5 linked regions of the Callithrix jacchus genome follow. The protein of the gene in region 1 interacts with the protein of each later gene in a biochemical or structural test. Links are inferred from orthologs where the notes say so. Each region holds a gene or a part of one and is shown in the gene's direction. Other genes may lie near its edges.

The links.
Region 2: the proteins of CLTC (region 1) and CLINT1 form a complex in vitro, tested with the Homo sapiens proteins (2 studies listed by BioGRID). The link is inferred for Callithrix jacchus from reciprocal best matches to the Homo sapiens genes CLTC and CLINT1.
Region 3: the proteins of CLTC (region 1) and TOM1L1 form a complex in vitro, tested with the Homo sapiens proteins (2 studies listed by BioGRID and IntAct). The link is inferred for Callithrix jacchus from reciprocal best matches to the Homo sapiens genes CLTC and TOM1L1.
Region 4: the proteins of CLTC (region 1) and ARRB2 form a complex in vitro, tested with the Homo sapiens proteins (3 studies listed by BioGRID and IntAct, with this or other methods). The link is inferred for Callithrix jacchus from reciprocal best matches to the Homo sapiens genes CLTC and ARRB2.
Region 5: the proteins of CLTC (region 1) and HIP1 form a complex in vitro, tested with the Homo sapiens proteins (3 studies listed by BioGRID). The link is inferred for Callithrix jacchus from reciprocal best matches to the Homo sapiens genes CLTC and HIP1.

Annotation. Positions count from the first base shown.
Region 1 is NC_133506.1:94,261,413-94,266,982, forward strand, and holds part of CLTC (clathrin heavy chain 1), read left to right. Parts: coding exon 1-79; intron 80-161; coding exon 162-329; intron 330-444; coding exon 445-594; intron 595-682; coding exon 683-814; intron 815-928; coding exon 929-1,039; intron 1,040-2,155; coding exon 2,156-2,326; intron 2,327-2,656; coding exon 2,657-2,878; intron 2,879-4,034; coding exon 4,035-4,055; intron 4,056-5,570. UniProt on the Homo sapiens protein: Clathrin is the major protein of the polyhedral coat of coated pits and vesicles. Two different adapter protein complexes link the clathrin lattice either to the plasma membrane or to the trans-Golgi network.
Region 2 is NC_133503.1:20,564,550-20,569,929, reverse strand, and holds part of CLINT1 (clathrin interactor 1), read left to right. Parts: intron 1-1,001; coding exon 1,002-1,294; intron 1,295-3,140; coding exon 3,141-3,345; intron 3,346-5,025; coding exon 5,026-5,372; 3' UTR 5,373-5,380. UniProt on the Homo sapiens protein: Binds to membranes enriched in phosphatidylinositol 4,5-bisphosphate (PtdIns(4,5)P2). May have a role in transport via clathrin-coated vesicles from the trans-Golgi network to endosomes. Stimulates clathrin assembly.
Region 3 is NC_133506.1:111,303,104-111,309,276, reverse strand, and holds the start of TOM1L1 (TOM1-like protein 1), read left to right. Parts: upstream 1-2,704; 5' UTR 2,705-2,736; coding exon 2,737-2,794; intron 2,795-5,564; exon of another isoform or gene 5,565-5,592; coding exon 5,593-5,677; intron 5,678-6,173. UniProt on the Homo sapiens protein: Probable adapter protein involved in signaling pathways. Interacts with the SH2 and SH3 domains of various signaling proteins when it is phosphorylated. May promote FYN activation, possibly by disrupting intramolecular SH3-dependent interactions.
Region 4 is NC_133506.1:106,267,907-106,274,247, forward strand, and holds the start of ARRB2 (beta-arrestin-2), read left to right. Parts: upstream 1-1,471; 5' UTR 1,472-1,561; coding exon 1,562-1,584; intron 1,585-5,511; coding exon 5,512-5,542; intron 5,543-6,341. UniProt on the Homo sapiens protein: Functions in regulating agonist-mediated G-protein coupled receptor (GPCR) signaling by mediating both receptor desensitization and resensitization processes.
Region 5 is NC_133503.1:10,646,612-10,652,811, reverse strand, and holds the start of HIP1 (huntingtin-interacting protein 1), read left to right. Parts: upstream 1-2,372; 5' UTR 2,373-2,436; coding exon 2,437-2,556; intron 2,557-6,200. UniProt on the Homo sapiens protein: Plays a role in clathrin-mediated endocytosis and trafficking. Involved in regulating AMPA receptor trafficking in the central nervous system in an NMDA-dependent manner. Regulates presynaptic nerve terminal activity.

The DNA of each region.
Region 1 (5,570 bases):
ATTCCGCCTTGCTCAGATGTGCGGACTTCATATTGTTGTACATGCAGATGAATTAGAAGAACTTATCAACTACTATCAGGTAATTAACTAGAGACTTTTATATGACTCAGATCTTTTACCACAGATATTCTTGCCTTTAACTGCCCATTTCTCTTGTTCAGGATCGTGGATATTTTGAAGAGCTGATTACGATGCTGGAAGCAGCACTGGGACTTGAGCGAGCTCACATGGGAATGTTTACCGAATTAGCCATTCTGTACTCTAAATTTAAGCCTCAGAAAATGAGGGAGCACCTGGAGCTGTTCTGGTCTAGAGTGAATATTCCCAAGGTAACCAGTCATTATAACACAGTAAAGCAACTGTGTAGTTAAAACTAATACTTAAAAATATTTCTTTTTAACGCTGTTAGCTAGACTTATATCTAAAGACTTGCTTATTATGCAGGTGCTAAGAGCTGCAGAACAAGCTCATCTTTGGGCAGAACTGGTGTTTTTGTATGACAAGTATGAAGAATATGATAATGCCATAATTACCATGATGAATCATCCAACTGATGCCTGGAAAGAAGGGCAATTCAAAGATATCATTACCAAGGTGTGTACTTTCTTCAGAAGATAAAGGATTCAGAAGGAGAAAGCTCATTAGGAAGTAACTGACTTATGTATGAATTTTCCCATTGTAGGTTGCCAATGTGGAACTATACTACAGAGCAATACAGTTCTACTTAGAATTCAAGCCTCTGTTGTTAAATGATTTGCTGATGGTGCTGTCTCCACGGCTGGATCACACTCGTGCAGTCAATTATTTCAGCAAGGTAAAGTAGTAATTTTAAACCAAAGTTTCATAGCAAGGAATTAGGACATATTTGGATAACTTTTGTCCCTGGGACTTCAAAAATGTGCTGTATTTGTAACTCTTTATTTTAAAGGTTAAACAGCTACCACTGGTGAAACCATATTTACGTTCAGTTCAGAACCATAACAACAAATCTGTGAATGAATCACTCAACAACCTTTTTATTACAGAAGAAGATTATCAGGTAAAACCTTTTGATTCTTGCACGTATTCTCAAGACACATAAAGTTATGTTTTCCCGTTTTTTAAAAAAGCCATTATCATTTAGGATTGTAAACAGTAGGTGCTTGCATACCCTAGGATCTAAGTTTAGTAAGGTTTCAGTATTGATAAATCTTCCTTCTTCTAATTAAGTACCAAGTTTTCAGAATTTTGCTCAGAAATTGCTTTTCCGAGCAATTTTGCTCAAAATACTGCTTTTGCTCAAATATTTGCTCAAAATACTGCTTTTGAAAAATGATTACTTTATCTCTAACATCTAGATTATAGGTAGAGTCAAAAATGTCTTTGATCACTTAATTCATAAAACTTACTTGGTATTAACTGCATTTATTCACTGCTTTTCTTGCCTAATGTTTTATTAGTGTTTGTATAAACTTTCTCTTTTGAAGGATTTCATATAAGCAAAAGTCAAGTAGAGTTAAGGTTAAGCTACTTGCTCTTTTTTCTCTCAATTTTCTTTGAGGCTCAACGCATGCAGATCTGTACTGCTGCCATGCTGGGTTTTATCAGAAGTTTCTCTAGAGCATAAAATCTTGCCCTCCATGCCTGTAATCCCAGCACTTTGGGAGGCCAAGGCACGTGGATCACGAGGTCAGGGGTTCAAGCCAGCCTGACTACCACAGTGAAACCTGGTCTTTATTAAAAATACAAAAAAATCAGCCAGGCATGGTGGTGCATGCCTGTAGTCCCAGCTACTCCGGAGGCTGAGGCTGAGGCAGGAGAATTGCTTGAACCTGCGAGGCGGAGATTGCAATGAGCCAAGCTCGCCCCACTGCACTCCAGCCTGAGAGTGAGACTCCTTCTCAAAAAAAAATCTTACCCTCCAAATTAGAAATCTTGTCAATTTCATAGCCATTGTTAGTCCTTGATACTGAAAATCTTGGAGAAAATGGTATCTTTAGGAAATCTTTACCTTTGAGGACTTTATTGTCATAGAATTAAGAAACTTACCTTTTGATGCTTGAATCTAAGTGTCATATTACATGTTACCATCTAAGGAGGTCTTTGATCAAGGACAGAATATAATGTTGAACAAAATACTGATCTGGCATTTGGATGCTTCTTTTTTTTTTTAAAGGCTCTGCGAACATCAATAGATGCTTATGACAACTTTGACAATATCTCGCTTGCTCAGCGTTTGGAAAAACATGAACTCATTGAGTTCAGGAGAATTGCTGCTTACCTCTTCAAAGGCAACAATCGCTGGAAACAGAGTGTAGAACTGTGCAAGAAAGACAGCCTTTACAAGGTTGATAAAGTTGTGGGGCTGGGGCTGTTAAACCGGGCCTAGAATGGGTGTTACAAGAGATTATGTTCTATAAATAAAAGTATTGGTTTTGTGAATATGAGAACTGACTTTTAAGGGCTGTCTTATGTTAAGGCCAAACTTGTTTGGGGGAAAAAGGGCCTTTAGCTTATCTGTTCTTTCGAAATTTTAATTTGAATGATATAACTAGGAGGCTTTTTTCCCCCCTTGCAAACCAGATTTATATTGGAAAGTTTCTATTGTTTTTCTTGGTTTACTAATTCAGTATGTTGGGTCTAATGTTTTTTGACTTTCACGATTTTCTTTGAATAGGATGCAATGCAGTATGCTTCTGAATCTAAAGATACCGAGTTAGCTGAAGAACTCCTGCAGTGGTTTTTGCAGGAAGAAAAAAGAGAGTGCTTTGGAGCTTGCCTGTTTACCTGTTACGATCTTTTAAGGCCAGATGTCGTCCTAGAAACTGCATGGAGGCACAATATCATGGATTTTGCCATGCCCTATTTTATCCAGGTCATGAAGGAATACTTGACAAAGGTAATCACTCTTCTAAGTGTATTCAGAACTAGTTTTCTTGCAGATATGTAAAATTCTACATGCACGTTAATTTTTTTAATGTTTTTTTCTCTAGAAGTCAGTCATTTAGTCAATCATAAAATATTCCTGTTCTTTTGAAAAATTTTTTTAATAGCTGACAAAAGACACTGATTGGAAAGGGACCTCAAATGTAGCTGTTAACCCACAGTGTATTCATGAAGGTGAAAATCGGTATTTTGGGTTTTTTTTAAAAGAAATATTTGATACATTTTATTTCAGGATAGCATCTTTCTCAAAATCAGTTTTTTACTCAAATTTCATAACTAGTATTCTAGATTCCCTTTTATTTGGTTGGTTCTTGACTTTTAATGATGTCCATGCCTATTTCCCCTGGGGAAGCTGCTTGTATATTCTTAACGTCCTGTTAATCTTCACAATTTTTTTTGATAGTTTAACCCCTGATTTAAAAATATAATAGGTGAACACATTAAACAAGCTGGGGGTATAATGTCTTTATAAAATTCACTGTTCATTTTAGTGTCCCTTTTTGATGTTAGAATATTTTTTACTCACCCTATCTTCAGCACTTACTAGCTTTCTCTCTGTAGAACATTTTTAAATGGTTTTAGAGGATCCTTTTCGTCAAGCAAAAAACATGCTTAAAATCAGAGTCTCACATCTGATCCCTTCAGCCTGCCTAAGAGGGGAAAAAAGCAATACCAACAACCTCTACTATACTGAATTTTTCCTCAGGATACCATTGTGTCTGTTTAAAGTTCTTAAAGAATTAACATTTTCTGTATCCAGCGTAAAAGAAAAAACATGTTGCCTTATCTTAGCCATAGATGAGCATAGCTTCTTAAACATAATGCCAACTTGTAAGACCTGTCTCTAAGCTGCTGTTAACCTAAGTGCTGTAAATTTTACTAGCGATTAAGCTGCTTTCTTTCGTACTGTAGCATAAATTTTTCTGCAGTAAGCTTTGAAGTTACAATTCTAAATTTTGCTTCCAGTATGCCCTTTATTTTCACTTCTCTCATACCTTTTTAGTGGTTAGATGTTTCTTCCCTAAACCTTTGTTGCTGATTCTACCTTTTTATGCTCAATATGGAATTTGATTTTTTTTCTAAGCTGCACCTTCTGAATTCCTTTGCAGGTTGATGCAATAAAGGAAAAGGTGAAAGTTGATTCTTTTCCATCTTTAAGTCTGGAGGACTAAGTCTAAGGAATTTGCATGATTTTTTTCCTTCCTTTTCTACACTGCTGCTGCTGCTTTTTCCCCCCAATAAATTTTCACTAAAGCCTCTGCAAGTCCCTTGAAACATAACTTTAATAGAGCTGTAGGACATTAATAGATGTTTGCTACTAATCGGCTAATAGGCTTTAGGAAGGGCAGGAGGCTAATCAGTAGTTGGTTCACAGTCTCTCTTAAATATATTATTAAAAACTGAGTATGGTGAGTTTCCATATTAATTCCAAAGTAACAGGAAATTTATCTTCCCTGTCAGGGTATCTGGACCATAATAGGACTATGATAATACTTAAAGTAAATTAAAACAGCCTCTGGTTTTACTTTGTGAGCTTGCCTGACAGTTGTTGAATTTATATATGTATATATATGCCCTAAAAGGCTTTTTGGGGATTTTTTTTTTTTTTTTGTATTGAAGGACTGTGATCCAGTTTCTGATCTCTTGATTCTTACTAATTTTTTGCTGAAAGTAGACACAAGAGATACTAGCTGCTTCCGAAGAGACTTTCCTCATGTTTCTCCAGGTGTCCGGTTCTTATGGTGCTAGTCCATTAAGAAGAATCAAAACCTTTTTAATCACGAGAGTCAAGCTTGCTATAATTGTTGCTAAGCAACATGAATTATTTCTAACAAAGTATTAACTTCTATTTTCTGTATTAAGGCATACTTCTGAAGCTAGCTAAAATTTGCTCTCCTGTTTATCAGTTGGCTTGCCCAAGGAGGTCAAATTCAGGCACCTTTTGGTTGCTGCTTCCTTCATTGGCTTGTCTCCATCCCAGTATAAATGAAACAAACTTCTTATATCTGTTATCAAATTATGGTTAGAAAAGGGTGGGAAGGTAAAGGAGAATTGAAACAAATTTAAAAGATTTGGGTGGGGGACAATGCCTTGGGATTATGTTGAACCAAACTGGAGTCACCACTGGAACTTAGGGCAAACCTGAGTAAAATGCATTGTGTGTGAGACCCTTCAGCAGCTAGTAAGCAAGGCAGTTAGAAAGCGTGTGTGTGAAAAACAGGTAATTGAACTGCAGTGTTATGCATTGTTTTAAATGAAGCATGTACAACAGTCATTGCAATTACATCATACTATTTTTGAAACTCTTATAGCATTGCTGTGGGCTGTGTGTGTTTCTTGAGAGCCTGTATAGCAAGTCATCTTCAGATCTCACTTCTTGCTTCAGTACTTTTGCCTTTTTTTCATGCACACATACACCAAAATAACTGACTGCATGTTACTTTTCCTCTGCAGCATATTGCAGTCTTTGTGGAAAAGCCTTTTACATTTTAGTGAATTTTCAGTAGTGCAGATGGAACTGAATTCATTGACATGCTTACCTGTAGTTTTTCTTTTTAAATCCAAGGATCAGAAACTTTTGTTACAGCTTTTAACAAAAGCTTGTGTTCTTAAAAGCCTTCTCTGCTTTTTTTTTTTTTTTTGAG
Region 2 (5,380 bases), on another chromosome or scaffold:
TGCTAAGGTTATATCATGGTTATAGCCCCGGTGTTATCAGTAGAAGCATGGCCAAATAGGTGAGAACTTCTTTTTTTTTTTTGGAAACCGAGTCTTGCTCTGTCACCTAGGCTGGAGTGCAGTGGTACAATCTCGGCTCAGTGCAACTTCTGCCTCCCAGGTTCAAGCGATTCTCGTGCCTGAACCTTCTGAGTAGCTGGGACTATAGGCATGTGCCACCACACCCAGCTACTTTTTAGTATTTTTAGCAGAGATGAGATGGGGTTTCAACATGTTGGCCAGCTTGGTCTCGAACTCCTGACCTCGAGTGATCCACCTGCCTTGGCCTCCCAAAGTGCTAGGCTTACAGACGTGAGCCACCGCACCCATCCCTTAGTGAGAACTTCTTATAGAAATTTACTACCCCTATTCATAATTTTATTAGTTTTTTTTCCTCCATGTTTTTCTGTATGGGGTTATTTTTTTAAAAAATTTAATCTTATGAATTTGGGGTTTTACAAATGACATGAGACAGTATAAATTGTAGTTTGGTTTCTATTTGAACCTTTCAAATAATAAACTCAATGAGTTTTCTCTGATTCTACTGAGTATCTTCTCACATGAGGATTCTAGAGCTCCCAACAAAAAGTTAAACTAGTTTAGAGGTTTCTCTTTGCTTTTCAGAGTCCCAGACTAGATCATATTTGTTTAGCTGGAAGTATATTTGTTGTTGCATACTTGATTGAAGGGGACTTTTTATGATAATTTCAATGTGTCACCTACAGAGCTTTTAAGAGATGGATTTTACTTTATATTTGGGAGGTTTTTTGTTCTGTTTTTGCCACCTTGTTAACTCTTGTGTAATATTTATGAGAAAGAATACTGTCCAGATGGAGATAGTACTTGCAGATGTTAATCTGGATGGACTCAGATCAGCTCTAATTTGTTTCAGTTCATAGATTGTTATATTTGTTCTGTGCATTTCATGAAGTTTCTTATCCTTAGAGTTATTTCTGTCTTAGTAACAGCAACAAGTGGGAATGGAGACTTTGGTGACTGGAGTGCCTTCAACCAAGCCCCATCAGGTCCTGTTGCTTCCAGTGGCGAGTTCTTTGGCAGTGCCTCCCAGCCATCAGTAGAACTTGTTAGTGGCTCACAACCAGCTCTAGGCCCACCTCCTTCTGCCTCAAATTCTTCAGATCTGTTTGATCTTATGGGCTCATCCCAGGCAACTATGACATCTTCCCAGAGTATGAATTTCTCAATGATGAGCACTAATACTGTGGGACTTGGTTTGCCCATGTCGAGATCACAGGTAAGTTGTCTGGTTCCGTTGGAAGTGGTTACTGATAATCTTTGAGATTCTTTAACTCATCTAATGATAGATTAGTATGAAACAGAAAAGCAAGCCGTGTGTGTGTGTGTGTGTGTGTGTGTGTGTGTGTGTATGCATCTGCACGTTTCATTTACCTTATACTCTTTCCCATAGCATAGTCATTTACATTCTGGAAGGCAAGGCATTCTCCCCCCATCTTGTAGTCACTATAAAGCCAAGCATGGTGCCTTTGTACAGAGGAGGAACATGCCAAAAATGTGTTGTTATGACAAATTGGTATTTAGTAGTGTTTTTAAATTGTCTTTAAGAAAAAGAAATGGAGATATTGTTTCACTCATGGCAAGTATTCACTTAGTAAAATACCTGGTCATGTCCCTAAAGAAATATCACTCATTGATTGTAAATAATCATTGCTAATATGAAAATCATTCCCTCAAATGGCAAATGTTCTTCCCAATTCTGGACCTGCTCTACATTATATAAATGTTTTATAGGCTCATCTTTCAACTTTCATTTTCATAAAGAAAAACTAAAATGAGAGCTTCTTCATTCACTATTTTATAGTTAAATCCAAATTGTCTACTACTAGCTTAGAATTCAAAACAAGTGTGGGCTTGGAAAATACGTGTCTGAATTGTACCAGGAACTTGCTATTTTTGACTCAAACTATTGAGAATATGTGTTTATGATGCTATTTACTCATTTTAATGTGTAGATTCTCCTCTGTAGGGTATTAGGATGAAGGAAAAGAAGAAAGAAGCAGAAAGGTGACTGCTCTGTAAAACAGAAATAAGACCTAATATATGAGTTAAGCATAAAGCCGATCTATTTTATTTGCAGCCTTAATTGTAACTGTCATAATTCTTTGCATTGGTACTTTTTAAATTATAAATTATTCTCCTGTTTCTGTTCTGTTATTTTTTTTTTTTTTTTTTTTTTGAGACGGAGTCTCTCTCTGTCGCCCAGACTAGAGTACCTCTGCTTCTTTCCTCTGAATTTCTTGTTTCCCATACATTGGTCTGTGTATATCAGGTTCACTTAGTGTTGCTCACTTTAGGTAGTAGAAGTATACACAGAGCAGGGAAATGTCAGTCAGATATGTGAAATATAAATTGCTTTTTGACAGTTTTGCCTTATATCTCTGTATAATGTGAGACATCATACCTGTTTTGTTTTGTTGTTTTTAGAGAATCTCACTCTGTCGCCCAGGCTGGAGTGCAGTAGCACGATCTCTGCTCACTGCAACCCCCACCTCCCTGGTTCAAGCTATGCTCCTGCCTTAGCCTCCCAAGTAGCTAGGACTACAGGCACGTGCCACCATGCCTGGCTAATTTTGTATTTTTAATAGAGACGGGATTTCATCATGTTGGCCAGGCTGGTCTTTGAACTTCTGACCTCAGATGATCCGTCCACCTCAGCCTCCCATAGTGCTGGGATTACAGGCGTAAGTCATCATACCTGGCCTCTCAATTCTGTTTTGGAAAGAATAAATTTCCACTTGTGTATCTCCTTAAAGCCATACTAACCTAAAATTGGTAGTAATTGGTAGTTCCCCTGGGCATTTGCCAGGGATGGTGACTTTTAGACTTTGAGTGATGAGAGAATAATTGTTAGTGTACGTAAGTTGTTGATTTTATCCACTTCAAACCTGATTGGGACTTCAGAGGAACCTCTTTGGGAAACTAATGATTTGGGGTATTGAAGACATTAGCATAGAAATTCCTGGTTCTCTTTGTTTCAGAAGTTCATTATTGTGATTAAATTGCCATCTGATAATTTTAATAGAACAGATGCTTAATTTTTAGAGCATTTTTCTATTTTCCAGCCTTTGCAAAATGTTAGCACAGTGCTGCAGAAGCCTAATCCTCTCTATAATCAGAATACAGATATGGTCCAGAAATCAGTCAGCAAAACCTTGCCGTCTACTTGGTCTGACCCCAGTGTAAACATCAGCCTAGACAACTTACTACCTGGTATGCAGCCTTCCAAACCCCAACAGCCATCACTCAATACAATGATTCAGCAACAGAGTAAGTTACCTTAAGACGTCCCACTTCTTTATGTACTTGCAGTCTTTTGCCCTAATGCCAGGAGTACTTCAAACTGAAATAAAAATACGTGATATAAACTGTAACTAACAGTTAACCAAATGCCTGTTCACTTAAGATATTTTCACAAAATATTTACTGGATATTCCTCCTGGCACACCGAATTAATTTATATTTTGTTCTTGCCATGATAACGTTTATTGTATTGTGGAGAGTTTTGAGGACCTGATCACTAAAATAAAAATTTGCTGTACAGATTTTTTTTTAAATATAGGCAAATATGATGGACAAACAAAAATCATCTGATTCTGCAGTTGAGGGGTAATTGCCATTAATACATTTTTTTTTTTTTTTTTTTTTTTTGAGACAGAGTTTCACTCTTGTTACCCAGGCTGGAGTGCAGTGGCGTGATCTCGGCTCACCGCAACCTCCGCCTCCTGGGTTCAAGCAATTCTCCTGCCTCAGCCTCCTGAGTAGCTGGGACTACAGGCGTGCACCACTATGCCCAGCTAATTTTTGTATTTTTAGTAGAGACAGGTTTTCACCATGTTGATCAGGATGGTCTCGATCTCTTGACCTCGTGATCCACCCGCCTCGGCCTCCCAAAGTGCTGGGATTATAGATGTGAGACACTGCGCCCGGCCAATACATATTTCTTTCTGTCTTTTCTTTTTTGAGAAGGAGTCTTGCTCTGTCACCCAGGCTGGAGTGCAGGGATGCAATCTCGGCTCACTGCAGCCTCTACCTCCCAGGTTCAAGCAATTCCTTGCCTCAGCCTTCCGAGTAGCCAGGATTACAGGCATGTACCACCACACCCAACTAATTTTTGTATTTTTAGTAGAGATGGGGTTTCACCATGTTGGCCAGGCTGGTCTTGAACTCCTGATCTCAGGTAATCCACCTGCCTCGGCCTTCCAAAGTGCTGGGATTACAGGCGTGAACCCCCATGCCCCAGCTGCTTTCCATCTTTTCTAAGCATATTTTTAATACTTTAAATCATTCTCTTTATATTGATTTGTTTATTGCTGTTCTTACTCAACTTTATGATCATTTTCCCTGTATTGAATAATATTCTTAGGAAAAATGATTGTTAGCTTTTAATAGTTACCATATTAGTGTATGATTTCCCTTGGTAATTATTTCAGTTTCCAGCTTTTTGTTATTACAAGATTTTATATAAATCTTCATACTTTTGATTTTTTTTCTTAGTAAAATGTTCTAAATGAAGTTGATGTAAACTTTGTAAAGATTTTTGTTATAAATCAGGATTTTGTATAAATCTTCATACTGATTTGTTTAATAGAATGTTCTAAAAATAGAAGATGTCGATATAAACTTTCTTAAGATTTTTGATACACGCTAGCTCTTGACAACTTGTTAAGTAGGATTTAACAATAGGTTTTGTAGGAATATTCTTTAATTTGGCTGTTTTTCCCCAGTCTACTCTTACTGTTTCTATATCTCTGGGGAGCCAGAGCCAATAGTCACTGAATGTATTTCTCAAGAGGAATCAGTGCAGATTAATTGACTTCTATATAAAATTACTGTAAAGGAATTTTAGGGGCTAACGAAGTATGGATGGTCAAGAAGATACTAGTTCTCTGCTCTGTGAATCTAAGAATTTATTGTGGTAAAGTTCTTCTGTCTGTTTTCTTCTGGTAGATATGCAGCAGCCTATGAATATGATGACTCAAAGTTTTGGAGCCGTGAACCTCAGTTCTCCATCGAACATGCTTCCTGTCCGGCCCCAAACTAATGCTTTGATAGGGGGACCCATGCCTATGAGTATGCCCAATGTGATGACTGGCACCATGGGAATGGCCCCTCTTGGAAATACGCCGATGATGAACCAGAGCATGATGGGCATGAACATGAACATAGGGATGTCCGCTGCTGGGATGGGCTTGACAGGCACAATGGGAATGGGCATGCCCAACATAGCCATGACTTCTGGAACTGTGCAACCCAAGCAAGATGCCTTTGCAAATTTTGCCAATTTTAGCAAATAAGAGATTGT
Region 3 (6,173 bases), about 17 Mb from region 1:
CGGGTTCAAATGATTCTCCTCCCCAGTAGCTGGGATTACAGTTGGCCACAAACACATCCAGCTAATTTTTGTATTATTACTAGAGACAAGGTTTCACCTTGTTGGCCAGGCTGATCTCAAACTTCTGACCTCAAGTGATCCACCTGCCTTGGCCTCCCAAAGTGCTGGGAGCTCTAGCACAGAAAATTTTCGCTCTTGAACAAATAGAGAAAAAAAGCAGGACTCTGTGGCAGCAGAGTATATGACTTCCCCTATTCCTGTATTCTTCAAGAGGTCTTGTACTGAATCAAGCAGATCCTTTAAAAAAGTAAGATACCAGGTTCAATAAACAGATTCACCTAGTGACAATAACATAGGCTTTAAAACTAGGCAGCCATGTCATGAGTCAAACTTAAGTCTTTTATAAGCTTGATCTTTCTGGATCTCAGATTATATATTTGAAAAATGAGGTTAATACTACCCATCTCCCAGGAATATGAAGATTAAGATAGATTTCTAGTTGCAGACACTTAACCCATTTTAAATAAATAAATGTTTACTAAGTGTTCATGGAATTGAAATTGTGATAAGATTTTACTGCTGGTGCCATTTTACCCTTGTGAGATTCTGCTCCTTCTCTGACCTTAACTTAGCTGTGAATTCTATTGTCCCTGCTGCTAGACTATACTAACATTAATCACATTGATTTTCACCCCCCGGAGAGAAGCGGGATCATGGAGAAAAGAACAGAGTACAAGAAGAGAAGGCTGCAACAACCACCACAACACCCTGGAGGGCACAGAAAGAGAGAAAAACTTCTGCCAGGCATTGCTAAGATGGAACACAGGTAGTACTCATCAACCTTGGTTCTGTTCACCCAAGCATCAAGTCCAGAAGACTCTCCTTGCTACTGCTTCTCCTCTTCTCAGTGCCTGAGTCCTGTAACGTAAGGAAATCAGACACAGGAAGAAGGAGAAGGGAGACGGGAGGAAGGAGGAAGGAGGAGGGAGGAGGGAAGAGGGAGGAGGGAGGAGAAGAAAACCCACATAAAAGTATGTAAAAAATTGATCTCTCTGGATGCTTGGTTCCTTCCTAGTTCTCACTGTCTGGTGGAAGGCCACTGACACCAACATTGGCCTAAGCTAAAATTGGCTTTTTCAGAGATCGTAGGTTGATTGTAGGTTGCAGAAAAGACAAAGTATTTTGCTAGAGGCTGTAGCATCAAATACAGATTAGCTTGGTGATGTCACAAAAGAGATGTGTCAGCAGAGGCTGCAGTGATGACTAAGGAAGTTGATAAACAGCACTATTTGAAATAGCTACTTGCCCTGAATAGGCAGGGGGAGAATATTAGTTACAGGTGGGACAAATCCCATTATGAGAAATATCATCACAACAAGAATATTTCATTCTAGATTTTAGAATCTCAGGTTTTGGCTCACTTCAGTCAAGAAAAGTTATAAATAATTGAGTTCGAGATAAATAATTAAATGTTAGTGCCTTGGAGTGCATGGCAATTGGTTTTGACCTCTATTTTAAAATTCACAAGACCACGGAAGTAAGTCAAACAAACCAGGTCCCCTTCGTCTCCATAGTCACCATCGCCAGGGCTAAAAACAGACTTGAAATGGGTGCCAGTTAGACTACAGGAAACAGGATCTACACACTATCTGACATCGCCTGGGGATACCTCACTCTCTGGCAGGCTTCTGCTGGCTGGAGATTGCTAACATCGCTAATCCGATATTAACTGAATGCAAAGGAATAGGAAATAAATTCTGGTTCTGAAAGTGCAGCTGGAAAGGTGTTGGGCTTCTCCAACTGGGACCTACATTCCAAAGCAGGTCTAAAGCCATGCATACTCCTTGCCAGAGGAAAAGGAAAGCCCCTCTCCCATTTTTAGAATCACGCTGGAGGTGGGGTTAGAAACCAAGAGCTTGCCTGGCGGCGCCCTGTGGTCCCTGGAGGAAACAGGAGAAAGACAGAGAGGGCTTGCTCCTGAGCAGCTCCAAATTCGAAGCCTATCATTCCTCCTAGACAACACCTACAGCTTTAAAGGGCAGGGCGCACACCTCCCTGCCCAGATCTCTAGGGCGGAGCAGGTCAAGGGTAAATATTTCTAGTTATTAAATTTATTCAATGGTTAACTATTAATTTTGTGGGTACCAGATACCAACCTAATCGGTTTACGTTCAAGAATCAGTTTAATGCCCACAATTCCCAGATTTGTGTTATTAACCTTCTATTATCTTTGGTTTACAAACGGGAACCAAAGAGGTGCACAGAGGAGTGGCACTCTGCCCAGCCAGCGACGGGATCAGAGCCTGGGTCTCTAATTCCCAGGTTGGAGATCCCAGGCTGCCTGGCTCCTCTTTTGCGCGGCGAAAAGCCCACTTGGGATCCGAGCGGGCGGCCACGTCACACTCGCAGGCTCCGCACGCCCGCCGCTGCCCGCCTATACCACCTGCAGCTGGCAGCGCCGCCTCCTCGCGGGTCCCTCAGGGCGCGCTACAGGTGCGCAGGGCGTCCCGAAGCCCCGCCCTCGCGTCCCTGCCCCTCGCTCGGCGCCCGCGCCTAACGCTCGGCGCCTCACCCCCAGTTCCCGCGCCCCGCAACGGCGGCGCAGGACGCACGGCCTCAGCCTGAGCCCGGGAAGCGCTCGGGCGAAGAGGAGGAGCCAAGGGTACCCAGAGGGTGGAGCCGGGAGCCGGAGAGCTGTGGAGGCGGATTTCCTGGACCGGGCCTCCTGGCGATACCATGGCGTTTGGCAAGAGTCACCGGGATCCCTACGCGACCTCAGTGGGCCACCTCATAGGTAAGGAGGCGCGGGGAGAGACGCCCAGGCAGGCAGGGGACCGTGGGATCCTTTTCTGCTTGATCCATTCTCAGCCTGCAGAGGACCGAGTTAGTCCAACTTAGAGAAAATTCTTCCCCTCCCCCGCAACTTTCCCAGGGCACCCGCATTCCAGCCCGGCCCCCTTTCGTCGTTTCCTTCTTGGCCAACTCACTCTAGCACCTCAGTCCTCAAAAATGTACCTTCCTTTCGATGCCTCCTGGGGAGCGGAACCAAACAGGTGAACCCCGGGAGTCAGGCATGGAGTGTTAGGGCCTCCATAAGGAGACACCAGAAACTTCTCGGCCTGGCGAAAGTTTTTCCTAAAGGCACACTCTTCAGGGCACGGTATTGTTATGCCCCTTTTACAGATCAGAAGAGGAGGCTCTCGGAGACTAAGTGACGTGACCTTACTGTGAGGAGCAGGTATCCCCAGACCAGTTTTCTCTAGCGCCAAGTGTATACAACCTGGCTGTCTTTTCTGGGCAGAGACAATGATACTTGGCATTGGAGTGAAGAGGAGGGGAACAAAGGAGCCATCTAGGGCCATGGAGGTGTCTAGCAGGCCACTAGGGACTACACCGGCATCCACCTAAATGATTTATCTCTCCTCTGGATGTACCGTGCATGATGTATGTAGAAGCCAATGATTAGACTCTTACCAGCACCAGCTCACTGCTCCCTCTTTTCCCTGATTCCTTCCTTGGGAATTGGGTGAGGCATGATTGCATATTAATGCCAGGCAAAGTGGGATGATGAAATCGTGAGAACCTAGTAGTTGTAGTATAGAGGCCCAGATTTGGAAAATTTAGGTCACAGCTCAACTAACTGCCTTGACACTGAGCACACCGCTTAAATATAACCTTAGTTTACACATTTTTTTTTTTTTGAGACGTAGTGTCTCACTGCCTGGGCTAAAGTGCAGTGGCCAGATCTCAACTCACTGCAACCTCTGCTTCCCAGGTTCAAGCAATTCTCCCGCCTCAGCCTCCGGAGTAGCTGGTATTACAGGCGCCTGCCACCATGCCCGGCTACTTTTTGTGTTTTTAGTAGAGACAGGTTTCACTATGTTGGCCTGGCTAGTCTCGAACTCCTGACCTTGTGATCCGCCCACTTAGGCCTCCCAAAGTGCTGGGATTACAGGCATGAGCCACCGCATCCGGCCAGTTTACACATCTTTATAAGATGGTCACAGTAGCTACCATTGAGGAGATGCTTTCCCTTAATGGCTGTACTTCGTTTGATATTAGAATGAACCCTGAGCAGAAATGGGTTCAGACCCATCATAGGCAGAAGAAATTTCGGCAGTTCATCTACTTAATTTTTTAATTCCGTAAACATGGGCTATGTGCCTGGACTTGGATCACACGCTGGTGAGGCCAAGGTAAGAGGTGGTCTCAAACCTGAGGGAACTCACTTTCTTGTAGGGAATATGGGCACAGTTTTGTGCTGCACCTTTGCAATGCAAGAAAATGCAAAACACACAAAACTTACAAAAAGGGGGAAATGAATTCTGCTGTGGCTTTTGAAGGGTGAATGGGAGTTTTCTAGAAAGATAAGAAGATTGGGAGGAAGAGCGAGGAATGAAGAGGAAATGTCTGGCAGACTGAACAACAGATACTTAACAGCACAAGATTGGTCAGCTTTGTTTATTTGGAGCCAAATTCAAGTGGTTCTTTTCCTTGGTTGAAAGCAAGCTAAGCTTTGGGGTTCCCCCAGACAAGTCCTTTCTCTTTTTTCCCCCTTCTCTAGCCTTTTTGTTTTTTCTCCATTTCCCCCAGAACCCTGTGTTTTCATGCTTAGGGATCTTGTCCTTTCTCTTAGGAAGATAGTAGCACATTCATAGCAAGTGTTCCGTTACTCTTTCCAGATAACATCTTGTATTCTTAAAGGGGCTGTCTGGAGAGGGAAAGATGCCATATTATCTAATGATAGGGTTCCAAATGCAGAAGCATTCTGGTCAGCCTGGTCCAGCTGTGGTTAGTGTAGATGCTTATTATTATTAGTCCAGATAGTTATTCAGTGCCAGTTTGAAATAATTAAGACTGATAGTAAAAGTGTGTGTGATGGAGGTTTTTACGTAGTTAAGCAGTGTCTTTGCAAGTATTGGTTGAAGTTATAATGACTGGTAAAATTAGAAGAAATCGTGAGATTAAGATGATAGGAGAATAAATGTATTACTTTTATTTGGAGTTGTGCCAATGTTTTGGCTCCTAAGACCATTGCATTACTTCTCTCCTTTAAAAGTTCTTTCCTCCTGTCCCCAGAGAATAAATTATTTTTTAAAAAAACAAACAGTGGGATCAAACAACCTAGATTTGAATGCCAGTTCTACTTTATACTGTCTGTATAACTTCGGTAATTTCCTAACCTCTCTGAACTTCTATCTCATCATCTCTAACAGTAGGTTAAATGAGATGGCATACGATAAAATTCTTAGCACTATGCAGTTCACCTTGTAGGTAGCTGCTCACTAAGCCTTAGTTCCCTTCTCTGAAAGCCAGGCAGTCAGAGATTTAGCTGGCCTGTTCTGGGCCTGTGGCCAGGTGTTATGCTTGCAGTCTTTATTAATAGGTCACTCATTGTTGCTGCAGCAGCGCTCTGAACTTGGGTTCTGATTGATTCCTGAATTTCTGAGAGCTGTTCTGAAAAAGATCACGTTGCCCTTTGGCAATATAAACTTAATGGCCCTTGCTAGTGCAGCCTAGGCAGATTATTTCAAGAATACCAGACATTTTTTATTCTGTTGTAGCTCAGACTCAACAGCTTTTTCTTGGCAGAAAAGGCTACATTTGCTGGAGTTCAGACTGAAGATTGGGGCCAGTTCATGAACATCTGTGACATAATTAACACCACGCAGGATGGGTGAGTACAGCCTATTTTCCATGTGTTTGCCTCTGACAAGAAGCATCAGAACTACAGCACGTTTTCTCTTGCAAATGTTTCAGTTTTCTTGTTGCAAGAGTGTTTTCATCATCCATTAGGCACCCTCTACCTTTTGAAGACTTGTCAGGTTGAAATATTGGGGCAGCTGCTTGCTTCAACATGTGGAGGGAGTATCCATAAATCCACTATAATTTTTCTCCTCTTGGCAGTTTCTTAAATAGTTTCAAATTTTGTCAGTGTGAAACTCAAATTCCTTCTGTTTAAAAGATTGAAAAAAAGAGACTGTTTCATTCTTTAGGAATATCTCCAGCTTCCATTGTTAGTATTTGATGAAACTGTCAAATATTATCAAGAAGCTGGTTGACTCCTGGTAGTAAACTATTTTTGGGCAGTTGTCTTTAGTAACCAGGAAACAATCTCACAGTCTTTTTTCCTCCCTGTCACAGGACAGTTTTTTTTCCTTCTAAATGTCAAC
Region 4 (6,341 bases), about 12 Mb from region 1:
AAATACTGAGACTATAGGGTGAGCCACCACGCGCAGCCCCCTCTGCTTTAAAAACCACTACCGGAAAAATAAAAAAAATTAAAAAATTAAAACCACTACCGGTCCCATGTGTCCTACTGCAGGGCCCTCAATCTCACTCCATCTGCTATACAAAATCCTCCGCAGCCTGTTCCAGGCTTCTTCACCAACACTTCACAACAGGATGTGCCTTGTCTTTCTCTTTGGAATGGCCTTTCTCAACTGACCGTCCTTCAGAAACACTGTCCTCAAATGTTCTCCACTCTAGACAGCCTGCACTCCCTCCACCCCTGCCCTGGCCAAGCACTGTTAGCTGCTGTGTCTTCTGACTCAGACCTCTGTAATAGCATTCCTGGGATCATAATACCTGTGTATGTGTCTCCTCAACTATTCTAGGAAGGCAGGGGCCATGGTAAATTCTATGTGTCCCCATCAATTGGCATAGCGAATAGCAAAAAATAGGCATGGATGGCCGGGCGCTGTGGCTCATGCCTGTAATCCCAGCACTTTGGGAGGCCGAGGTGGGTGGACCGCGAGGTCAGGAGTTCAAGACCAGCCTGGCCAAGATGGTGAAACCCTGCCTTTACCAAAAAATACAAAAATTAGCCTGGCGTGGTGGCGAGCGCCTGTAATCACAGCTACTGGGGAGGCTGAGGCCGAAGAATCGCTTCAACCCCGGAGGCAGAGGTTGCAGTGAGCCGAGATCGTGCCACTGCACTCTAGCCTAGGCGACAAGAAAACTTAGATAAAAGAAAAATAAAAATAGGCATGGATGGATGGGTTGATAGATGGGTGTGGATGGGAGAGAGTGAGTGGATGTTACCTGGGATGAGTGGCTGAAGGAGACTGATAGAGAAATTGGAACAGGGAACCCTGCAAAGATCAAATGTAGACATCAGAGGGAGCTGACAAACTGCAGTAAAGATGTGGGAGGCCGGGCCACAGAAAGCGGCACGCTCCGAGGCGAGCGGACGAGCGGCGCGCACTGAAGCAAGCATCACGTAACTGAACCGCTCACCCACGTGTGCATCCCCTCTTTCCTCCTTCTTAGACGGCTCTCCAGCTCATTCCAGCAGCCCCAACATCCCCGTCGCCCCCGCCGCCACAGAGAAAGCAAACCAAAGGGAGGAGACCCCCTGCAGGTTTTGGATGCCCAGGGCCAATCGAAAGACTTCGATCCCCTGGAAGGCGGGTGCATTGGTTTAAGGAGGTCCAATCGGTTTCCAAGGGGTTGCGGTGGGGCGGGGAGATGGGCGGGAAGAGGGGGAGCGGGCCCCCTGGGACGCAGCGCGAAAGGCTGGGGGCGGAGCCAATGGGCGCGAGTGTCTGCTAGGAGAGGGCGGGCTGCGCCGCGGCGCGCGCGATCCGGCTGACGCATCTGGCCCCGGTTCCCCCGGACCAGAGCCGGGCCGGGAGGGAGGGGAAGAGGCTAGAGCGCGGAGGGCGCGCGTGCGCAGTGGTGCGGGGAGGAGCAGGGATCTTGGCAGCGGGCGAGGAGGCTGCGAGCCAGCCGCGAACCGAGCGGGCGGCGGGCGCGCGCACCATGGGGGAGAAACCCGGCACCAGGTAAGGGAGGTGGGGCCACGCGGCAGGGTATGGGCGGTGGCTCGGGGCGGGTGCTGGTACGGTCCCAGACGAGGACACAGCGGAGAGGATCTGGGGGCCGGACACCTGGGTCCCTAGGGGCAGCCATCCGGGGCCGCACGCGCAGGTCTTCGAGGATAATGGTGGGGGGGAAATGCCCGGGCCCCTGCAGAAAGCGAGGCTTGAGCGGGGGATGAGAAAACCGGTGTCGGGGTTCTCGCAGGGATGTGGGGCTGGACTACTGGGCTCTCCGGTGCAGGCTGCGTTGCAGGGACAGAGGAAGGAGGAGCAGGTGGCTGGCCCTGAGGGGTCGTGTACCGGAGGCTGGATGCCGGAAGGGGGGATCACCTCTAGACTCGTTCCAAGCCAATGGAAAGCCTCCAGTCCAATATCCCCCAGGCAGTTGCGCTGACCACACCTGTCCCAAGGCCGAGCGGCTCCTCATCCAAACTTCTACCTTTCCCTGGGTTGCCAGGAGCAACAGCTTCATCTTGGGGGAGCCGTGTGTGTGGCGACCCTCCCTGAAACTGGATCGTATCCCTCTCTCTGTGGGTTGTGGAGGCAGTATTCACCCTGGGCACGCGTCCACTCCCCGGATGTTTTCTGTGCAATCGAGGCTCTTTCCTTCCACTGACACCCTGAGTTCTCTTTTTTGGTCTCTAGCAAAATCCACTTCCTGTTGTGACTCAACACCCCCAAGGGGCAAGGGGTGAATGCCTGAGTCCCGGGGAGCAGGAGCAAAAGGCGAAAAGGTTGGGGCTGTAGGCCTCAACCCAGAGGGGCTCAGGAATGGGGATTGGTCCTGAGCTCTTGCTTGCTCTGCAAAACATCATGTCGACCCCACTTCCAACCTATGGAGTATGAGAACCTGGATTTCTGTGCATCAAGTAAACGAGTATCAGAAAGAGATGATCAGAGAAATAATCGGTGTCCTGGATTAGGGTTTAAACACCCCAGAGAAAGGGGAAGTTGCTGACTTGTGGGAGGCCCCAGATTTCCATTATGTGGTTCAGGGAGTGGGACAGATGGACCAAAGGGACTGCTGATTTGGCACAATTTCCTGCACCCCAATCAAATTCTGGGCCACAGGAAACAGAAGAGCAGGAAGTGTGAAAGGACGTCTGCTTCAGCTACCCCCTGCCTCCCACTGGGCACCTCCCTGGTCATCCCCATGCTCCCCCTCCTTGTCCAGCCTAGTATATGCACGCTGCTCTTCCCCAGCCTGGCAGAAGGTGGCTGGGTTAGGATCCAAAGGGCAGGTGCCTTGCAGCTGCTCCAGGACAGTTGCGCCAGAGCCACACTCCAGTGGGCCAACTGATTGTGGCCGTCACAGCCCTGTGCCAGGGCTCCTAATGGGAGGACACCCTGGGACAAAGGAAAACCAGAAGCAAAGAGGCAGGAGAACCTGGATGATGCCACGGCACTAAGCCCCCAAGCTGGAACAAAAGATAGGGTGTTTATTCTAGATGCCGCCATATTGATGTTTATTCTCCTTTATTGGTTGGGAATACCTGGGGGCCTCCATACCCTTTGCCTTACAAGCTTTGGACAACTTGACATTCTGGGAAGAAGGGGCAAGTGAAGTTGTAGCGGAAACTGGGCCTATGGTAGAAACTACTTTAGGGCCAAAGGCCAGGGTCATTGCTCTCCTATGTGCTCCAGCTGTCAGAGCTGTAGACCAGATGGGAAGATGGTTAGGTCTTACTCAGACACTTAAGCAACCTGCCCATTTGGGTCCTCTGGGAATGGGGTGGTAGAGTTGGAGGAGGGATGGGCTAGTTGGCAGGATTTCACTTTTTACTATCTGGGACCTTTTCCTATCTCTGCTGAGGCAGAATAGAGTAGAAGCAGCAAGGTGGTGCTTCAAAGAACAGACCACAATTAACTGGGGTTGCCAAACCCTTCCTTACCCAGCCATGGGTGGAATCCAGGCTGAAGTTGTTTCAGCAACTGGAAAGCGAATACTCTTCAATTCAACAAACTATTAATGCCAACTGCAGAGACAGATAGTATAATATTGATTGAGAGTATGGACTTGGAGCCAGACTGCCTGGGTTTATATGAATTCCCACCATTTACTCTCTCTGTGACCTTAAACAAAACACTTGACCTCTCTCTGCCTCAGTTTCCTCACTTATAAAATAGAGATATTAGGACCTCCATCACTGGGTTGTTTTATTTATTTTATTTAATTAATTTATTTATTTTTGAGACAGAGTCTTGCTCTTTGCCCAGGCTGGAGTGCAATGGAACAATCTTGGTTCACTGCAACCTCTGCCTCCCAGATTCAAGCAGTTCTCTTGCCTCAGCCTCCCAAGAAGCTGGGATTACAGGCACGCACCACCACACCCAGCTAAATTTTGTATTTTTAGTAGAGGCAGGATTTCCCCATGTTGGGCAGGCTGATCTGGATCTCCTGACCTCAAGTGACCTGCCCACCTCAACCTCCCAAAGTGTTGGGATTACAGGCATCAGCCACTGCTCCCAGCCTTCTTTTAATACGCTTAACCCAATGGGCCAGGTGCAGTGGCTCACGCCTGTAATCCCAGCACTTTGGGAGGCCGAGATGGGCGGATCACCTGAGGTCAGGAATTGGAGATCAGCTTGGCTAACATGGGGAAACCCCGTCTCTACTAAAAAAATACAAAATATAGGGCAGATGTGGTGGCTTAAGCCTGTAATACCAGCCTTTTGGGAGGCCAAGGCGGGTGGATCATGGGAGGTCAGGAGTTCAAGATCAGCCTGGCCAATGTGGAGAAACCCCATCTCTACTAAAAATACAAAAATTAGCTGGGCATGATGGCAGGCACCTGTAATTCCAGCTACTTGGGAGGCTGAGGCACGAGTATTGCTTGAACCCGGAAGGTGGAGGTTGCAGTGAGCCAGGAGTACGCCACTGCATTCCAGCCTGGGCAATAGAGTGAGACTCAGTCTCAAAACACAAAATATAGCCAGGCGTGGTGGCTCACTCCTGTAATCCCAACTACATGGGAGGCTGAAGTAGGAGAATCTCTTGAACCCCAAGGGGGTGGAGGTTGCAGTGAGCAGAGATTGCATCGCTGCACTCCAGCCTGGGCGACAGAGTGAGACTCTGTCTCAAAAGAAAAGATTATTAAAAGAGATAACACGTTTGAAACACTTGGAACAGTGCTGGGCATGGAGTACCCACCCTGTAATGTTAGCCAGCATTATCATCATCATCATCATCATGTGGCTGGCAGTGTGCTGCAGATGCCTAAATGAATAAGGCCTCTAAGGCTCACAGTCTGAGGAGGGAGGCAGCTAACTGCCCTTGTGTCCTGCCACACCACAAGTAAAACATAAACAAACTGAGCCAGGAACCCAAAACAAGGAGTGACCAGGGTCTGGGCTGGGTCAGCTTCCTAAAGGCTGGACCTTAAAAGACAAAGAGGCTTTTAAGCTGCTAAGGTCGGAGATGGGGACAGTTGGAGGTGAATGGATAGAGTCGAACTGGGCTAGGGCCTATGGTAGAAACCATTTGAGGGTCAAAGTCCAGGGTCATTGCTCTCTTATATGCTCCAGCTGTTGGAGCTGTAGACCCGATGGAAAGATGGTTAGGTCTTACCCAGATGCTGCGGCAACCTGCCCATTCGGGTGCCTGGGGAAGAGCCTGGGTGGTTCCTAGGGCAATCAGTGGCCATTACTAGGGAGGGAAGGGGACTAAGGAGGGTGGACAAGAGAAGGGGCATTTTTCCTTGCTGTCATGTTAGAAATAGGAAGGACTTTACAGGAAGAAGTGGAAAGGGGCAGAGCTGGGCAAAGCCCTGCAGCCTCAGGCAGGAGTCCTGGGTGAGCTCTGCTTCCCAGGCCTGGGAGGGACAGGGTCCTGGTGTGGGGTGCCTGCTGAGTCTGAGGGAAGCAGTGGGGTTTCCCTTTCTGTTTTGTTAGGGTCTTCAAGAAGTCAAGTCCTAACTGCAAGGTGAGTCTCCATGGCACTTATCCCTTTCACCCTCCCTGGGCCCCAACAGAGTCCAGCCTTCCCCTAAAGGATTGCCAGCCTGCCCCAAGATGATCCTCAACCCCTAGCTCCCCACTTCCTGTGACAGCTAAGAGCTGACTTCCTTCCCTCCTGAAGCCCCTTGCCACAGAGGCTGCTCAACCTGAGCCAGCCACAGGGCTGGGTGGGGCAGACCCGGGTCCCCAAGCAAGACCACAGAGGAGGAGGCCAGAAGCAAGCCATGTGCCTACAGCCCTCCTAGGGGCCAACCCAAGGTGCGCCACCCTGGGAAGAGTTAACAGCCCCCACCCAGGCTGTGGCCTGCTTATCCTAGAGCCCCTTGAGGGGACATAGTGAGGGTGGCAGCTGCTCTCTAGCTGGCTGGTTGGGCTGAGTTCTCCCTGAGGATCCAAACACACACACACACACACACACACACACACACACACACACGTACCTGGCTGGTTGGGCTGAGTCCTCCCTGAGGATCCAAAGACACACACTCATGACACACACTCACAGACCACACATGCATGCAACACACACACACACACACCCCTAGCTGGCAGAGTCCTCCCTGAGGATGCAAATACACACATACATCTGGCTGGTTGGGCTAAGGACACACACACACACCTGCCCACCTGGCTGGTGGGCAGTGGTGTGCAGAGATTAGGGAGCAGTTAAAAAGCCTAAAGGTCTGCTAGCCTGAGAAATGCCGCCACCCTCCTTTTTAACACTACTGGGAAAAAACCTGGAGAAACTCCCTATAGCCCAGCTT
Region 5 (6,200 bases), on another chromosome or scaffold:
CATCGCCCATCCCCGATCCCCGTGTCCAGGTCTTATTTGGGTAACCTCCCATGAGACAGAACTTCCTCCTCGCGTTTCTCTTCTAGGCCCTCATAGCCTCTCATCAATGCTAGAGGTCCCCATTGATTTCCTCCCTTCCATCAGGCCCCCACAATCCATCCCACAATGTAAGCTCCTCAGTGCAAATGTCTGAGCAAAAGCCTTCAGTGGCTCCCTGGTAACTGCAAATGCCTGCCTCCTTTTCACTTCTCTACTGATGTGTGAATTTTTACCAAACGCTCTTATTAATTAAAAAAAAAAGCCAGGTGCAGTGGCTCACGCCTATAATCCCAGCACTTTGGAAGACTGAGGCGAGCGGATCACGAGATCAGGAGTTGGAGGCCAGCTGACCAACATAGCGAAACCCATCTCTACTAAAAATATAAAAAATTAGCAGGGCATGGTATTGGGCACCTGTACTCCTAGCTACTTGGGAGGCTGAGGCAGGAGAATCGCTTGAACCTAGGAGGTGGAGGTTGCAGTGAGCTGAGATCACGCCATTGCACTCCAGCCCAGCAACAATGCAAGACTCCCTCCCCCCCGACCCCCCCCCCAAATGTCGGGGCAGGATGGCTCATACCTGTAATCCCAGTGCTTTGGGAGGCTGAGGTGGTAGGATCACTTGAGCCTAGGAGATCGTGACCAGCCTGGGCAACCCAGCAACGTTCCTTTCACTACAAAGAAGTAATTTTTTTTTTTTTTTGAGATGGGGTCTCGCTCTGTCTCCCAGGCTGGAGGGCAGTGGCCGGATCTTTGCTCACTATGGCCTCTGCCTCCCTGGCTCTAGTAGTCCTCCTGCCTTGAGAGTGGCTGGGACTACAGGCTTGCACCACCACACCCAACTAATTCTAAAATGTGTTGTACAGATGGGGCCTTGCTCTGTTGCCCATGCTAGTTTCAAACTCCTGAGCTCAAGCAGTCCATCTGCCTCAGCCTCCCAAAGCGCTGCGATGACAAGTGTGAGTCACCTTGCCTGATCAAATTAAAAAAAAAATACACTTGAATCACCAAATTGTTATGCCTAAAGGTGCCATTCATTACTTTGAGTTTCAAATAACTTTAAAAAAATGCATCTACACCAAGTGCTGTGGCTCACTTCTGTAATCACAGCACTTTGGGAAGCCAAGGTGGGAGGCTCGCTTGAGGCGAGGAGTTCGAGACCAATCTGGACAACATAGGAAGACTCTATCTCTGCAAAAAAATTAGCCAAGCGTGGTGGCGTGCACCTGTAGTCCCAGCTACTCGAGAGGCCGAGGCAGGAAAATCGCTAGGGCCCAGGAGCTCAAGGCCACGATGTGTTATGATCTACACTCCAGCCTGGGCGACAGAGGGAGAGACTGACTCCAAATGAAAACAAACAAAAATACCTAAATTGGAATTTAACCAAAACCTTGAACTTTCTCCAGAGTCTCTGCTAAGCATCACACTTCTCTCTGCCTGCTGGTACCCTGGCTGACGTCTGAGCAGGATGCGATGCGCGCCTCAGAGCCTAAGATAAAACAGAAAGTGCCTGTAGGGCTTTCTACCAACAAATAAGTTCTGACGGATTCATTTGATGAGGTTTGGAAGGGAGGTCCTGGAAGGTGCCCGCGGACTCGGCCCTGAGCTCCCGGACCTGGGCTCTGCGATCCTTGCAGAAGGCATGGACAGGGGCAGGATGGGAAGCCTGGAGGCTGGGTGGAGGCGGCTACCCACTGAGGTCGGGTCCGGCCAGGCGCCCACGCTGCGCCAGCCTGCCGGGCTGCGCTTCTCGGGGCTGCGGCCGCGGAGCTGGTCCGGCGCTCCCCGGTCCCAGGCCCGGAAAGAGCTAACGAGCTATTCGCAGACGGGCCGGGATTCCCCCAGGGGAGGCCCCACTTCCCAGCCTGCGTGATCCCCGCCTACCACCCCGGGCCCTCGCGGGGCACCCCCAGCAGGAGCAGGCAGGGCAGTGGGCGGCGCTCGGCGGAGGGCAGCGCGCTCTGGGCGCGCGGGGACCGCGGGCGCTGGGAGGAGAGGGTGGTGCGCGGGCGGGGGCGGGGCGAGCGAGGGCAGATCAGGGCAGCCCGCCCCCAGGCCCCGCCCCGTCCAGGCCCCGCTCCGGCCGCACCCCGCCCCGGCCCCGCCGCGAACGGCCGGGCCCCGGTGACTGACAGGACTCCAGACCAGTCACCGCGCGCCTCGAGGCCCCAAGGGGCCAGTCGGGGCTGACCCGCAGAGGGGCTTCGGTTGGGGAGGGGGCGGGCGGGGAAGCCTTTCGGAAAGGGGCGGGGTCTCAAGAAGACTGGCAGAACTCACAGCCAATAGCAGGCGGGAGCCGTCCCGTTAACGCCGGATCCCCGCGGGTAGGGCGGGGCGGGCGGTGCGGTGGGGATCCCGGGGCGACCGAGGGCCCCAGACTCGGCTCCTCACGGCGACATGGATCGGATGGCCAGCTCCATGAAGCAGGTGCCCAACCCGCTGCCCAAGGTGCTGAGCCGGCGCGGGGTCGGCGCCGGGCTGGAGGCGGCGGAGCGCGAGAGCTTCGAGCGGACTCAGGTGAGGACGGGGGACCCCGGGGCATCCCTGGGGCACCCTGAGGGACGCGGTGTCCGGGAAGGGCTTTGAAGGGAATAGGAGTCTTGCAGGCCCCAGTTGAGGACGGAGCGAGGGGGTCGTGAGCGGGGACATTGGCGTACAGATCTGGGCGATCCCAGGAATGTCGGGGACCCCAGGGTATCCCAGCTGGCCTGGGGAGAAGGGCAGGAGGGTCAGGGGCGGGCTAGGAGGAGAAGGCAGGATGCGTGCGGCCAAGCGGAGCCTGAGCGGCTGGGGACCCGGCAGGGGTCCCAAGGGGAGGTGAGGGGGGGAAGGAACTGAAAAGGGACGGAATGGAAAGGGTGCCCCTAAACAGCGGAAGCGCACGGGAGCCACTTGGAGACTCACGTGTGGGGGCGGAGAGTGGGGGCGCCGGACTGGGAGTGTGAAGGGTGAAGGGACCTCTCCTCCCCTCCTATCACTTCTTGGTTGCACTGACATCCCCTTCCAACCTGCACCCCTCAGCATCCCCCTTTCTCGTTGCCTCTTGTTTGGCTCTGGCCAGCCCCAGCTGTCAGCTCTGAGGCCGCGACGAAGGGTCGGAGCAGGGAAAAGGAATGCAGGAAATGCAAAGTGTGGCCAAGCTGGGAAAATGACTTTGGGGGCAAAAGTGGAAACCACTGTGCTCCATGGTGCCCCAAGCCCTGATTTGGGGTTTTGGTTTTATTCGCCAAGATGTGCCTGACAGCTACTAGGCAGACTGCCCTATTTGTCCTGCCTGACCAGGGCTCGGGGCCAAAATTCCTCATTGTCATCAACAAAAAGCCACAATCCATTTTTACCTCCGAGTTTTTAATGCCTGGTGTATTGATTGGACTGAATTAAGCTGACATGTTGATGTTGTTCATCCGTTCATTTGTATGTAAAATCCATTTCAAAGAGTACAACGCTTCTTTTAATCCCAGTGCCGATGTTGGAGGGGCAGATTTGTTCTACACTCTTGCGCTCAGAGTGGAACCTTTGAAGACCCAGTTGGGTCCCCCACTGCCAGAGGCTGGTCCCCTGATGTGTAAGGAATACTTCCCCTAGACACGGTTGGAGGGAAAGTGCTTTGGGATTTGAGTTAGAAAAGATGTGAGAATCTGACTGAGGGTTCTGTATATGGAATCTTTCAAAGAATAAAGCTTTTGGCATAGTGTGATACCTCACGCCCAGCACTTTGGGACGTCTAGGCTGGTGGATCACCTGAGGTCCGGAGTTCGAGACCAGCCTGGCCAACATGGTGAAAACCCATCTCTACTAAAAATACAAAAAATTAGCCGGTGGACGACCGTAATCCCAGCTACTTGGGAGGCTGGGGCAGGAAAGTTTCTTGAACCTGGGAGTTGAAGGTTGCAGTAAGCTGAGATTATACCACTGCACTCCAGCCTGGGCAACAAGAGCAAAACTCCGTCTCAAACAAAAACAAAAACAAAAAAGAATAAACCTTTCCACCCCCAGAGAACTTCATCCTCTTCTTATTCTGAAAATCTTTGCCTGAGCTGCCCTACCCCACACCGGGGCAACATAGTGAAACCATGTATCTACAAAAAATAAAATAATAGGCTGGGTGCAGTAGCTCACACCTGTAATCCCTGCACTTTGGGAGGCCAAGGTGGGAGGATTACTTGAGCCCAGGAGTTTGAGATGAGCCTGGGCAACACGATGAGATCCTGCCTCTATTTTTAAAAAAAATTTTCAATTAACCTGGAGTTGGCATATACCTGTAGTCCCAGCTATTCGAGAGGCTGAGGCAGGAGGTTGAGCCCAGGAGGTTGAAGCTGCAGTGAGCTCTGATTGTGCCACTCCAGCCTGGGTGACAAAATGAGACACTGTCTCTACAACAACAAAAAAAAAAAAAAGAAAAGAAAAAGGAGAAGAGAAGGTGGCCCCACGCAGGTGTGTCTGAATGGTGTGAGGCAGTGAGACCCTATCTCTAAAAAAAAAAAAAAGAAAAGAAAAAGGAGAAGAGAAGGTGGCCCCACGCAGGTGTGTCTGAATGGTGTGAGGCAGGGGGTCTCCCCTACCTGGTGATCCTATCCCAGGAGGGAAGTGGCAGATGGTCATTCATTTCACTTCTGCCTCCCAGGATCCAGCTGGGTTTGAGGCTTGTTCTCTGATTTCATGGACCAGACCCCTGAAAAGAAGGAAGTTTTCTGTCTGTCTTGGATGTTAGTGCGTCTGCTAGCTGCCTGGTTGTATGAGGCTTCTTGCTCCATGAAACAGTGTGTATATTCCTTTTATTTTTATATTTTTGTAGAGATGGGGTCTCACTGTGTTGCCCAGATTGGTCTCAAACTCCTAGTCTTTAGCGATCCTCCTGCTTCTGCCTTCCAAAGTGCCGGGACTATAGGCGTGACCCATGGCACCCAGCCTATTGTTGTTTTTAAATAAATGAAGTAAGAAAATAAACAGACCAGGTGCAGTGGCTCAAGCTTGTAATCCCAGCACTTTGGGAGGCCAAGGTGGGTGGATCACAGTCAGGAGTTCGAGACCAGCCTGGCCAACACAGTGAAACCCTATGTCTACTAAAAATACAAAAATTAGCTGGATCTGGTGGCGAGCACCTGTAGTCCCAGCTACTCGGGAGACTGAGGCAGGAGAATCGCTTGAACCCGGGAGGTGGAGGTTGCAGTCAGCCAAGATTGTGCCACTGCACTCCAGCCTGGGCGACAGAGCTAGACTCCATCTCAAAATAAATAAATAGATATTATTTTATAACAACCCATTTCTTCTAGAGTCTCAAATAAGTAAAAACTAGAGCAAGAGAAATATGCATAAGAGTTTGACCCATAACAGTGATAGAAATTAGGTTTGTGAAAGTTTCCACCCATGAGTGGCATGTTTTCTTGCTATCCAGGGACAGCCCAACAGGATAGTCTAGGTCAGTGTTTTCTGGTGTTTTACATTCTGTGGGACATGTGACTGGCCAGATTTGACCTGGGTGAGGTGAGTAGGGATGATGTGGAGTGGAGCAGAAAAAGAATTTTTCTGATGTTGAAACTCTTATTTTTATCTTTTTATTTTTGAGATGGGGATGTCACTGTGTGTGCCCAAGCTGATCTTGAACTGCTAGCCTCAAGCGATCTTCCCATCTCAGCCTCCCAAAGTGCTGGGATTTCAGGTGTGAGCCACTGCACTCAGCCTCTGGTTGAAAACTCTTTAGGGGAGTAGGAGAGTAAAGAAGCAGAACAAGCCCAGACAACAGTGTAAGACCCCATCTCTACAAAAAATAAAATTCGCAGGACGGGGTGGCGTGTGCCTGTTGTCCCAGTAACTTTGGAGACCGAGGCGGGAGAATTGCTCGAGCCCAGGAGGCTGAGGCTGCAGTGAGCAAAGATCGCGCCACTGCAATCCAGCCTGGGCAACACAGTGAGACCCCATCTCAAAAAAAAAGAAAAGAAATAAAAGAACAGCCCTAAAACCCATCATTAGTCAATCTGCAAAAAGTTATTTTGTTTAATAACTATCTATCAAATGTATTATGAGGCTGCGGAGATTGGTAAGCAAAGGGGACAATATATTATGAGATATAGAAATGAATTCTAAAAAACTTAATGAGTTAAGAGACCGTGAGAATCAGCCAAGGTATAATAATAACTAACTAATTATTGTATTTGACATCA